Linked DNA regions of Schizosaccharomyces pombe. The protein of the gene in region 2 interacts with the protein of the main gene of each other region in a pairwise test. Each region holds a gene or a part of one and is shown on either strand. Other genes may lie near its edges.

What was found.
Region 1: the proteins of clr5 (region 2) and spo5 interact in a two-hybrid assay, tested with the Schizosaccharomyces pombe proteins (one large-scale study listed by BioGRID).

What each region holds. Positions count from the first base shown.
Region 1 is NC_003423.3:2,534,209-2,539,146, reverse strand, and holds spo5 (meiotic RNA-binding protein 1), read right to left. Parts: upstream 2,998-4,938; 5' UTR 2,927-2,997; coding exon 2,697-2,926; intron 2,649-2,696; coding exon 2,305-2,648; intron 2,250-2,304; coding exon 1,120-2,249; 3' UTR 893-1,119; downstream 1-892. Other genes in the region: histone H3-H4 chaperone, CAF assembly factor (CAF-1) complex subunit A Pcf1, read left to right, coding at 1-828; ccr1 (NADPH-cytochrome p450 reductase), read right to left, coding at 3,648-4,938. UniProt on the Schizosaccharomyces pombe protein: RNA-binding protein which plays a role in sporulation. Regulates the progression of meiosis I and may function in the vicinity of the Mei2 dot.
Region 2 is NC_003424.3:5,426,401-5,432,422, reverse strand, and holds clr5 (silencing factor Clr5), read right to left. Parts: upstream 4,068-6,022; 5' UTR 4,017-4,067; coding exon 3,901-4,016; intron 3,305-3,900; coding exon 1,351-3,304; 3' UTR 900-1,350; downstream 1-899. Other genes in the region: plasma membrane glutathione transmembrane transporter Pgt1, read left to right, coding at 1-565.

The DNA.
Region 1 (4,938 bases), on a different chromosome or scaffold from region 2:
GAAAACGAGGTTCGACAATTAATGAGCGCATATCAAGATCCATCTGTTTCAAAACCTCAAGAAATTTTATCTTGTTTATCACAGATTCCTATTAAATTCATTTTCTTTTATCAGGATGTTCGCCCTCCATATTTTGGATCTTACACGAAAACCCATTCCCATGGTTCTAACGTTTTATTGAATCCCTGGCTTGAAGATGAAGACATAGACTACACATATGATTCAGAAGCAGAATGGGTAGCTGATGAGGAAGATGATGGAGAAGATTTAGAAAGTGAAGATGAAGAGGTAGATAATTCCGATGATATTGTAGAGGATGGTGATAATGCTTTTGTGGATGATGAGGATGATGACAAGGATAGTGTCAATGCTTCTAATACCCATCGTTCCTCCGGCCCATTAGAGGTAATCGTAGAAGGTCCGGTTTGGGATTCAAAGTTTCTTCCTGACTTTAATTGCTTATCTTTAATTGAACCCATTAGTTCATTTTCAGCATCTACATATCTCCAAATTGATCCTAAAGAGGATTTATGGGCTTCTCAAGATACTGCTCCAGCGTCTAGTGGAATGACAATTGGACCTACCAGTTCACTTTCTGATGATTTACAAGTAAGGTTTCCTTCTGAAGATATACCCAAATTTATAGAATATGTCCGTAACTCTCATGACAACAAAGTATTCCTGATCGAGAATTTGAGGCACATGTTTCCTTACGTAACCAAAAATATTATCAGCGAAACTCTTGGAAAAGTCGCTGTGCGTAAAGGAAAATCAGTATCTGATGGTTGGATAATCAAGGAGAATTTTGCATCCCTTTTATCCTCTTAATTCACAGTGTGCAATTATCTTGAACACTCAAGGACTATTTATACCTCTCTCTTTTTATACGATTAAGCAAATATGTATAATATCATTCATTAATACTGTAGTGGTTTGACCTTTGTTATATAACCTGATAATAAATAAAAGAAAAAACATAGAAAGAAAGCTTTGGCCCTTAATTGTAAGCTTTGTCTAACAGGTTTTATGTTGGTTTAAGTTTGAGTATGTGATAAGTGTTTGAAAAGATTTCGATATTAGAGTTTGATGTTCAAGTAAATGCTGGAAAGATGTTTAAATTTAATTAGCAGCAGAAGTAGCGGGATGGGCATGATATGGCGTAGTACTTCTGCTGTTTTCATAGTTTGAGGGATAAACGGAATAAGAGGGATACATACTTTGCCAACCGTAAGTATCATAAGTGGGTGAATGTTGATAGACTGTGTTCGACTCCAATGGCACATACATTCCAACTTTAGAGGGCATAGAGTTATTTGCGAACTCCTCAACTTTGGAAAAAGCATTATTAGCTGTCATTCCCTTAGTTAAAACACTGTATTCACGAGCACGCCATAATCTTCTTTTCTGAGTCTGACCTTTAAACTTCTTCTGATCAGTGGAATCAGCAAAACGGATTTGTAATGGGGGTAAAGCAGGATCCAAGACAAAGTTATTAAATTTATTAATTATGTCTTCAGCCGTTTTACGATCTTGCATACGAGCAAACCCAACACCTCGAGATTGTTCCTTAGAGTCACGAAGTACGCGGTTTGATATGATTTTGCTGGGTTTAAACAATGTGGAAATATCACTTTCATTCCAATGAAGAGGAAGATTAGAAATATACAGATTGGTGCTTTCTGTGTCTTGTAGACTTTGAAGACGTGCACTGAAACTTTCTTTTGCAAATGAACACTGATATCCACATAAAGTCATGGCTGAAATGCAAATCAATGCAGATTTCTCTTCTTCAAAGCATGCAAACCCATATCCTTTACATAAATTCGTTTCCATATCAATTATTGCTTTGCTGCTACTAACTTTACCAAAACGATTGGTGTAAAGCAACAAATTTTCATCCGAAGTGTTGGGAGGTAAACCACGAATGTAAACATTCCGAGTACGAGAAGTGCTTTCCATGTTACTTTTTTTATTATCATGAGACATGGGAAACATGCTGGGAATGGCAGGAGGAATTGCAGGATGCAATCCAACCAGTTGAGAAAGGTAATTTGTATTCTCCTTTGTTGTACCGACACTCATTTCTTGATTAATGGCAGCGGGAATATTTTTTTGCCCTTGGGAAAAAGAAGGCATCGAGAGAGAAACTGAATTCGTAGGCACAGTCGCTGAAGGAACTGGCGCGAGATATGTTGGTTGATTGACAATATGAAGTCCCGGCTGATTTAAAGAGGGCATTTGAGGATATACTAAAAGACGAAAAGTTTGGTAAGTATTAGTTTTTTCATAAGCTGTGTATCATACCATTCTGAACATATGGTTTTAAATACTGATGAGTATTGTTAACATGATAAGGGTGAACAGACTGATGAGTCTGCCATTGTGAACCATAGCAAGGAGCTACAGAATTGAATGCAGGACGGAATCCAGAGACACCCGGTCGATTGTTGGAAATGGCTTGTGACTGTGCATAGTATGACGGATAATAAGAGTTGGCATAGTAGGCGTTTTGTTGTGGCAGTGTTCCATTATTAATATTGTTATTTGCATATGAAATAGGATCGGTTGTCATAACGGTTGATTGATCAGCAGCACGCCTATTTAAATACGCGGCCTGTGCTGCTGTAGAATAAGTATTGTTTTTTATACTATATTCCTAGTTAGTATTACATTACACATCTGTAATAGCCCTTTACCTGTTTGGCTTCTTGGAAAGCCCTAACTCGCTAGAACCAGGCGTTGCGTTTGGGCTTGTTCCTGGTGTTAATAGTATAATTGTAGAGTCCAATCCTTCACTTTTTTTCGTGTCATTGACATCCACAGTTGTTTGACTTGTTGGAGTAGACAATTCGGTAGTGGATAATGGATCACGAGAAGGAGAAGACATTAATTGTTTTTGTTTTTGAGGCGTAATTATTCCATTCATCGCTCTTATATGCTTTAAGTAAATAATTTTTAAATTATGTATACTTTAATGTTTGAATATATGTTAAAGGTAAGTTTTTGAGCGCGCGAAATCTGTTAATAAACAAATCAAGGATAGCATTGTGTTGCATTAGATTTGATAACGTAGAAAAAAAATACACTTAAAGGCTCAGTTTTATTATACAGTTAGGATACATGTATTAATTATGCTTGTACTTTTGGAAACTTAACTTTTCCGCATATTACTCAATGTTTTGCGTTGACAAGTACACATTGACCGAGGATTTAACTTATAGCATCCTGTACTCTAACTTGATGCGTGTATTTTTAAAGCAAAAAAAGAATTATCAAATACTTTCTATTGTATGTAAATTGATCAAACATTCGCAATCGCCTTAATTATTGAAGTGCAATGAAGTCGACTGCCAGTGTTTACTTTGTTACCCAGCTTTAAGTCGGTTTAGGTTTTTCAATCATGACAAACACAGCACTTTGTGTAGATTCGCATTTTCGGTAGACATTTTTGAGCAGTAAGAAATTCAAGTTGGCAGTTTATTTTTGATATTATAACGTTACAGAGTACTGTTCGTTAGTTGCTACAAAAACTATGTTTTCTATAGATAAAAATACCGAGTGGAATAATGATTGTATTAAACTATTTCTAAGATGAAAAGGCATCATTAAGTCTTGAAGTAATCGCAAAGTCTGGATAAATTCCAAACTTACCAGGTATCTTCAAAAAATCTATTGTCATCTCGAAGAGCTTTAACGGCTTTCATACCGTCAACATCAACAGTGGTCAGAATAGAAGCCAATGCATTCACAACATCTTTAGCCATATGATCAGCATCACCGCAGATATAAAAAGCAGCCCCTTCTTCTACAAGTTTAGCAATGGTATCACTGTGCTCTAAAAGACGGTGCTGAACATAGATTTTATGATCTTGCTCACGGGAAAATGCGGTAATCAGTTCAAAAGAGTCTTTCAAGACATCTTTGTATTGTTGCCATTCTTCCTTATATAAAAAATCCTTGTCAGAATATTGGCAACCATAAAATAAAAGTGTTTTTGCTACTTTAACTCCTTTAGAAGCTAAATTAGCCCGTTCCATCACAAAACCGCGGAATGGGGCTACACCAGTACCCGGGCCTACCATTATTATGGGGACATCGGGAGGAGCCAATCGAAAAGTAGATTTCTTTACAAACATCGGAATTTTTCCGGTCCAGTTTTTACGAGGACCCTCAAGGGTATATTCCAAACCATTTGGATGTGGAATTTTTTCACCGTGCATATGACGACAATGTGCCAACAAATAATTAGTAGTTAGTCCATAAAAGATATGATTCTTATCAGTCCATTCTTTCTTGTCAACTACCGCTGTAACGTGAACTTTGTCAGGATGCACTACACTGCTCGAGGAAATCGAATAGTAACGCGGTTTCATGTGTGCCATATTTTCCAATAGCATTGAGAATGGAAGTTTTGTAAATGGAGCGTCAGGAGAAACACGACGAAGGACTTGAGCAAGGTTTAGGTGCAAGTCTACAACGTTCTTCTTAAAGTAGTCATAATCGTTGCCTAATTTCTCGAGTTCTTGCTTAGATTCTGGTGTAGGAGCGAAAGGAGCAATAAAAGAAAGCAGTTGCCTGGAGACGATACCACATATTTCATAGTAGTAGCGAAAAACAGTGTCATAGGTAGTAGGACTTAAAACAGGAGCCTTATCGAGAGTATCGATAGGTTTAACAATTATTACAGTATCCCTCTTCTCTTTGAGACCGAGAACTTCGAGAAGATCATCAACAGCTTGACTAGGATTCATAGGACAAATAGAAGCGTAATCACCTGTTTGATATCGCATACCAGAGTCTGCGATATCCAACTCTAAATGTAAGCAATTACGACTTCCAGATTTGAATAGCTCAAGAGATCTGACAGGAGAAGAGAAAAATGGATTAGCTTGAGAACGTGGAGCTTTCGATGCAACATTTCCTTTCAATTGCTGACGA
Region 2 (6,022 bases):
GATGAATTATCACATTCCAGGTATTTGTACAACTTCACAATCAAATGGCTTTACTTGTCCCAACGGTCGTTCCATCTATAATGCCTCCTTAATTTGGGGTGCAATTGGGCCCGCTAAAATGTTTTCAAAAGGAAAACCATATTACCCATTGATTTTTTTCTTTTTGATAGGTGCAGTTGCTCCTTTTATAACATGGGGTTTGAGAAAAAGGTTTCCTAAGTCGTGGATTGGAAAGCTTAATGCTCCGGTCCTTTTCACTGGTCCTGGCAATATTCCTCCCGCTACTGGAATTAACTATTCTTCTTGGGCAATTGTTGGGTTTATATTTAATTATGTGATTAGAAAGCGCGCGATACACTGGTGGAGGAAGTACAACTACGTACTGGCTGCAGCTATGGATTCTGGGGTTGCAGTCGCTGGAGTAGTAATTTTCTTATGTGTATCATACCCTGGAGGTAAGATAACCTGGTGGGGAAACACTGTGTACACTAAAACTTATGATTGGAAAAGTGTGCCATATAGGTCACTTGGGCCAAACGAAACCTTTGGTTACACCAATTGGTAAAAGCTATTTTAAGGCGTTTAGTGCTCTCTCCTGCTCTTCCGATTGTATTTAAGCACATTTTTTAAAAGCATTTTAACAATCGTTATTTTGATACCCTCTAAGAACGATCTATATTGTACATTATATATTTTACCAAGATGGTGTGATATGCTTTGTCAGTTCAACAGGCCAAATCCGTTCTATTTTAAGGCTTTTAAAAACCTAAAAACGTCCGGTTACTCATAATTTGTTGAATGAAACATTTCCACAGCTTATTAAATATAATACTTTACTGAATCCACTACTATGATAACTATTCAAGGTTGGTTAAAGTTTGTAAATAGTAAAAACCGAATGTATAAGCAAAATAAAAATAACTATTATTAAATATATAACTTTTATGTACATAGGATCTCGTATACGAAAGTACCGGTCGACCTTGATTAAAAATAGTTTCTAAAATTATATACAAAGCAAAAAGACAAAACGATTAAGAGCAAAAAAGAATCAAAAATGAACTTAGCTCAAATAAGAGCTAACGCAAAAGGTTCTTTTATTAAAAAAGAAGGGCTTGCCTGTCCATATACCAGATACTGACACAAATGGCAATATAATTTAACTCACATTAGGCAGGTAGGGCGAATGGTGAAGAAAAAAATTAAAAAACATCTAAATGATAATAAAGCAGAAACCAAAAGGGAATGCCAGAAAGGACCAACTAAAGATACAGGTACTAGTATAAATAGAGCAACACCATGGAAATGGTCAAAACCGCAAAGTGCAACAAGCGGCAATACTAACCTAAACTAAACGAAACGAGAATCTACATCTGGATAAACAGGAAGTAAAGGTCCATGGTCATGCAAAGCTGCATCTGAACGAACCAGGGGAGAATGCTCATGGTTTTGTTGGGGCATAAGCAATGGATTTTGTACTGGATTCAAAGCCGCACTTGCATCTAATAGATTAGCTGAAGGATGGTGAATGTTCTGAGGAAATCTATTAACGAATGTGTTGGGATACGAGTATTGGATATGCTGGTCATCAGATAAATGAGAGTGAATGGGAGGAGGAAGCTGTTGAGGAACATTCTGTGCTGGATCAGCCATAGCGGGGAGAGGATTGTAATATTGATACGGTAGAGCTTGCTGCGATTGCATATGCGGGCTAGGTGCTGATGCTGAGTCATGAGCAGAGGGTCCCATTGTATGAGGCATTGCAGCCTGCGTTGCAGCAGCGGCACTTAGCACAGGTAACGTACCAACGTTATGAACAGATAAATCACGAGATGAACGGACAGTCAGAGTTTCATCGGATGGTTTTGCCTCCGGTTCAATTCGTTCAGAATAGTGATCGCGCATAGTCATTCCATTAGGATCGTATTGAGAATGCTGAGGGTATAAGTGTATACGCTGTAACTGGGAGGGGTCTTTAATTGACATGGAAGACTGCATTGAAAGATTAGAAGGATATTCCGACTTTTGCTCTTGATTAACGCCGTAAATGGAAGACTGCATATAAGCATGTGCTGGTGCTTGCATGTTTTGCCCATCCTCCGCTGAAGAAGAATATGAAGCTGGAAAAATGGACTTGTTTAGAGAGGGGTACTGACTTGCAAAAGAAGCTCCATTTGCATGCGCCATTGAAGGGCTGGATGTAGAATTAGGAGCAGACAAAGAATCAGTAGGCCCTGAATTTGAGTTAGGAGAGGGTGAATGAAGATGATTGGAATGAGGTGTGTATGAATTCATGGGTAATCCATTGACAGCAGTTGGTCCGTTAGAAATTTGTTGAGGAACCGACGCTGTAGAATACATAGGTTGTTCAGATGTATAACTGGGTTGGTGATTTCCAGGCTTACTTTCAAGATAAGATGGTTGATTTGGAGTATATCGATCATAGGAATAAGAATTAACAGGCATCGATTGTGATGATTGCATATAGGATATGTTGGCATGAGTATTGTCCATTGGAAGGGCATTATTACCGTCAGGATGAGCAGCAGATTGGTTTGAAGAAGCAAACATGGTGGAGCCCATTGGGACATTTCTAGATTGGTAGATGAAAGGATACAAAGCTTGTGGCTGACCGTTAACGGCATGTTGAGCAGCAGGGAATGGATGAGATTGTTGCTGTCGAGAGAAACGTTGAGAGGGTATTTGGAAAGGCTGCTGCAAATAAGGAAGAGATGGCATGCTAGAATAGCCAGACTGTGGAGGAGTCAAAGAAGAGTGCGCATTGTGTGCATCAGCCATAGTTGAAGGATCCACACCCATGTGAGGGGGAAGCGAGCTATGGTGAGGAGGATGGATGGCACCCATATCTAAATGGCTCGAAGAAGAAGATGATATAGTAGCGACGGGATCAGGAAGAGTGCTAATGGGAGGAGCAACGTTAGGATTGGAAGTTGTAGACGACGAAGAGTTATCAGCAGACAAAAGACAAGAGTTGGCCATCAAAGGGATAGAGTTATTGGGAGAATCGTGGGAGTCAGGAGGAGGACGCTTTAAGGCTAATCTCTTACGACGATAATGCAAAGCACGTTTCGAAAGTTTTAAACCAAAGTTCGCCTCTATCTGGGCCAAAGAATCTTTATCACTTTGTCGCGCATGAAATAATTGGGTAACGAGTTCATCGAGAGCCTTTGAAACGTCGCCCGAAGCGGTTCGCGCGGCGGCCTCTTCGGTTCGGGGCGAGACAAAACGTTGACGATGTACTCGAATTCCCCATCGAGCCAACACGCGTTTGTATGAGCGAATACTAGAGAAAAGTTAGCAAGAGTAATGAAACAAAACAACAAAAAAAAAGAGCTAAAGAGACAAGTACGCGATACGTGAACATAAACGTGAGCGAAAACGAAGTAGCGAAAGACAACTTCAACGCAACGCCAAATGAAATAGAGGAAAGGAAAACAGGATGGATTCATATGGCATGGTCTTTTGCATGAGCATGCACATGATATACATGACGGGTTATTGTTTAGGACATTTGTATCCTGTATGTAAGTGGATTGGACAAAGTGGATGAAAAAAAAGATATTCCAAACAAAACAGCAAACCAAAAAGACAAAGAAACAAAGAAACAAAATTTCATTGTTGAATGAATGTCTCAGTTGAGGATGTTTTGGAAAACTGCCATCCTGTTTTATTGTCGCAACCCCACATACCCAACAATAGCCAATGTCCATGCAGGCACGACACACAACGACGACCTACACCCAAACATCCAAACACACAATTCCATTCACCTTCTCGTACCTCTAGCCCTGTACTTATTCGCTCCTCGTCGCATCGCAAGCATCTCGCACAAAATGGCGCAACTTGTAGTCCCTGCGGCGACACCAACAAACTACTTACCTAGCGTCAAATTTATACATCTTTGACATTCTCGCCTGCAGCTCGCGAATCGTCATTCCATTGATCTTGGAAAGCTCGATGATCTGCTCTCTTCGACATTCCCATTCCTTCGTCATTGAAATCGAACTTTCGGTTGTCTAATGTTGTTTCAAGTTGAGATTGGAAGTGGCCAGAGTTGGTGGTAGTGGTGGCTCGTAAAGTAGGGGTGAAAATAGTGTATCAATTTAGTGCACGAATGACAACAACGTTAAATGATAAAATAGAGCGATCCAAGGTACACCCCCGGAAACATGTAAGGAACATCGGGTCAAAGAGGATAGAAATATATAGCCAAAAAGGGCGCAACTTTTTTCTATCATCTCAGGCATTCGGAAAAATGACCTCGTATCGATGGTTGCCATCTTTCCAATCACATCGTGAGATATTCATTAAATATTGCTCATGGAGAATTTCGGTTTCACTGTTAAGCCGCTTCGTATGATGGCGCTTCCCTGCTCTTATCCATCCAACAAAACTCATTACTCCTTTCGCACTCAAAGTACTGAAACTCATTCTACTCAACACTACTCTTAGGTAGGTTAGGTTAGGTTAGGTTGGGTTGGGGGAGTTTGGGCCTTTGCTATCCCATATGTCTTTTGGCACGTTTGATCTATTGGTAGAGGGTGGACTCGCTAGCGGCAACTTTTTTCTTTTACCAACTCTTTTGTTCGCTTCTTCCACCTTTTGTCAACTCAACAATAACCTTTAACGTTAAATCCTCGACGAGAGCATTCTGTCCCATTTCCAGTAAGTGAAGGATGAACGTTAGAAAGCTGACATGTTCGCGATTTGGTCTGCTAGTAAATGTTGGGCAGAGATGCCTGCTTGCCTTGTCTTGCCAAGGTATTTTTTTCTTTTCGCAAACGAGTAACAGGTTGCTTTGGAGACGACATGGGTATCTGGAGACGAGTGTCTGAGAAAAAAAATTGAAAATCCGAAATCATGATCAACTCCGAACGTACCTAATTTGGATGGACGAAGAGGAGGAAGAAGCGAGCACCCATGAAAGAGAGCACACTGATGCACGCATCCATCAAGTGTTACAAGACAGAGGTAATAGTAGATGAAATAGAAGGGATGGCAAGGTAAGATATGAAAAGGTAGGGTAAGGCATGGGATAAGAAGAGAAATAGGATAAGAAAAGAAAGAAAGAAAGAAGAAAAATAAAAATAAAAATAATACTAAAAAATAATTGGGGTAATTTCTTTCTTTTTCCTTAATTTATTTTAAAGTTCTTTGATCGAGTATTTCCTTTTTATCGACTTCTTCCTCTTGACACTGCCGATGTCCTTTACCTTGCAAAACTTATGCTATCGCTCATCCCGAGGAAAGTTTATAAACTTGCTAGTAAGACTCGTTGTTTTCTTACTACATAATCCACCTTGTATTCTTTTAGTATACAATTTTAACATACTTTATAGCAGCTTCATTTATACAACATACGGAATAGCATAATTTATTTATTAGAAACTTTTCATAACATACTTTATTCGTATAACATACTCCACTCTATTATTTGTATTATCATCACACTGTCTTGTAAATATAACCCAATAAGTAAATGAATAACTAAATATTAAAAAAAAATATATATTTTGTAACACTGGGATGCCAGTTTTATGCCACTCGCATACCTTTCGCATCCATATCAGACACAACTCTATTTCCTTCAATTTGGCAAACTCTGCGTCCGCCAAAATAAAATCATCAAGTCATGTGAATAAACATAAAGTTGAATGTAACATGTGAACAAAAACATAAAGTTGTGTGAATTTTGCAGATCTTATTACATTTGTCTTTTTCTATTTTTATATCAACATAAACTAAGGAATCCCATCTCCAAAAAAGAAAAAAAAAAAAAGGAAATAAAATTATATGTATATATTTTTATCCATCAGTCTCTCTCACAACAATTCATTGAACCAATATAGTGATATGGATTACTTATTCCACCGTTACAATATATTCATTTAACGACTGGCATTACTCCACTACTTTATCAGCTTCGGTGTTTCCCACCCTATCTATTAGTCTTACTGCGTTTTAGTGTATGGGGTCGAATTTATGGGGGTCAAATTTCGTT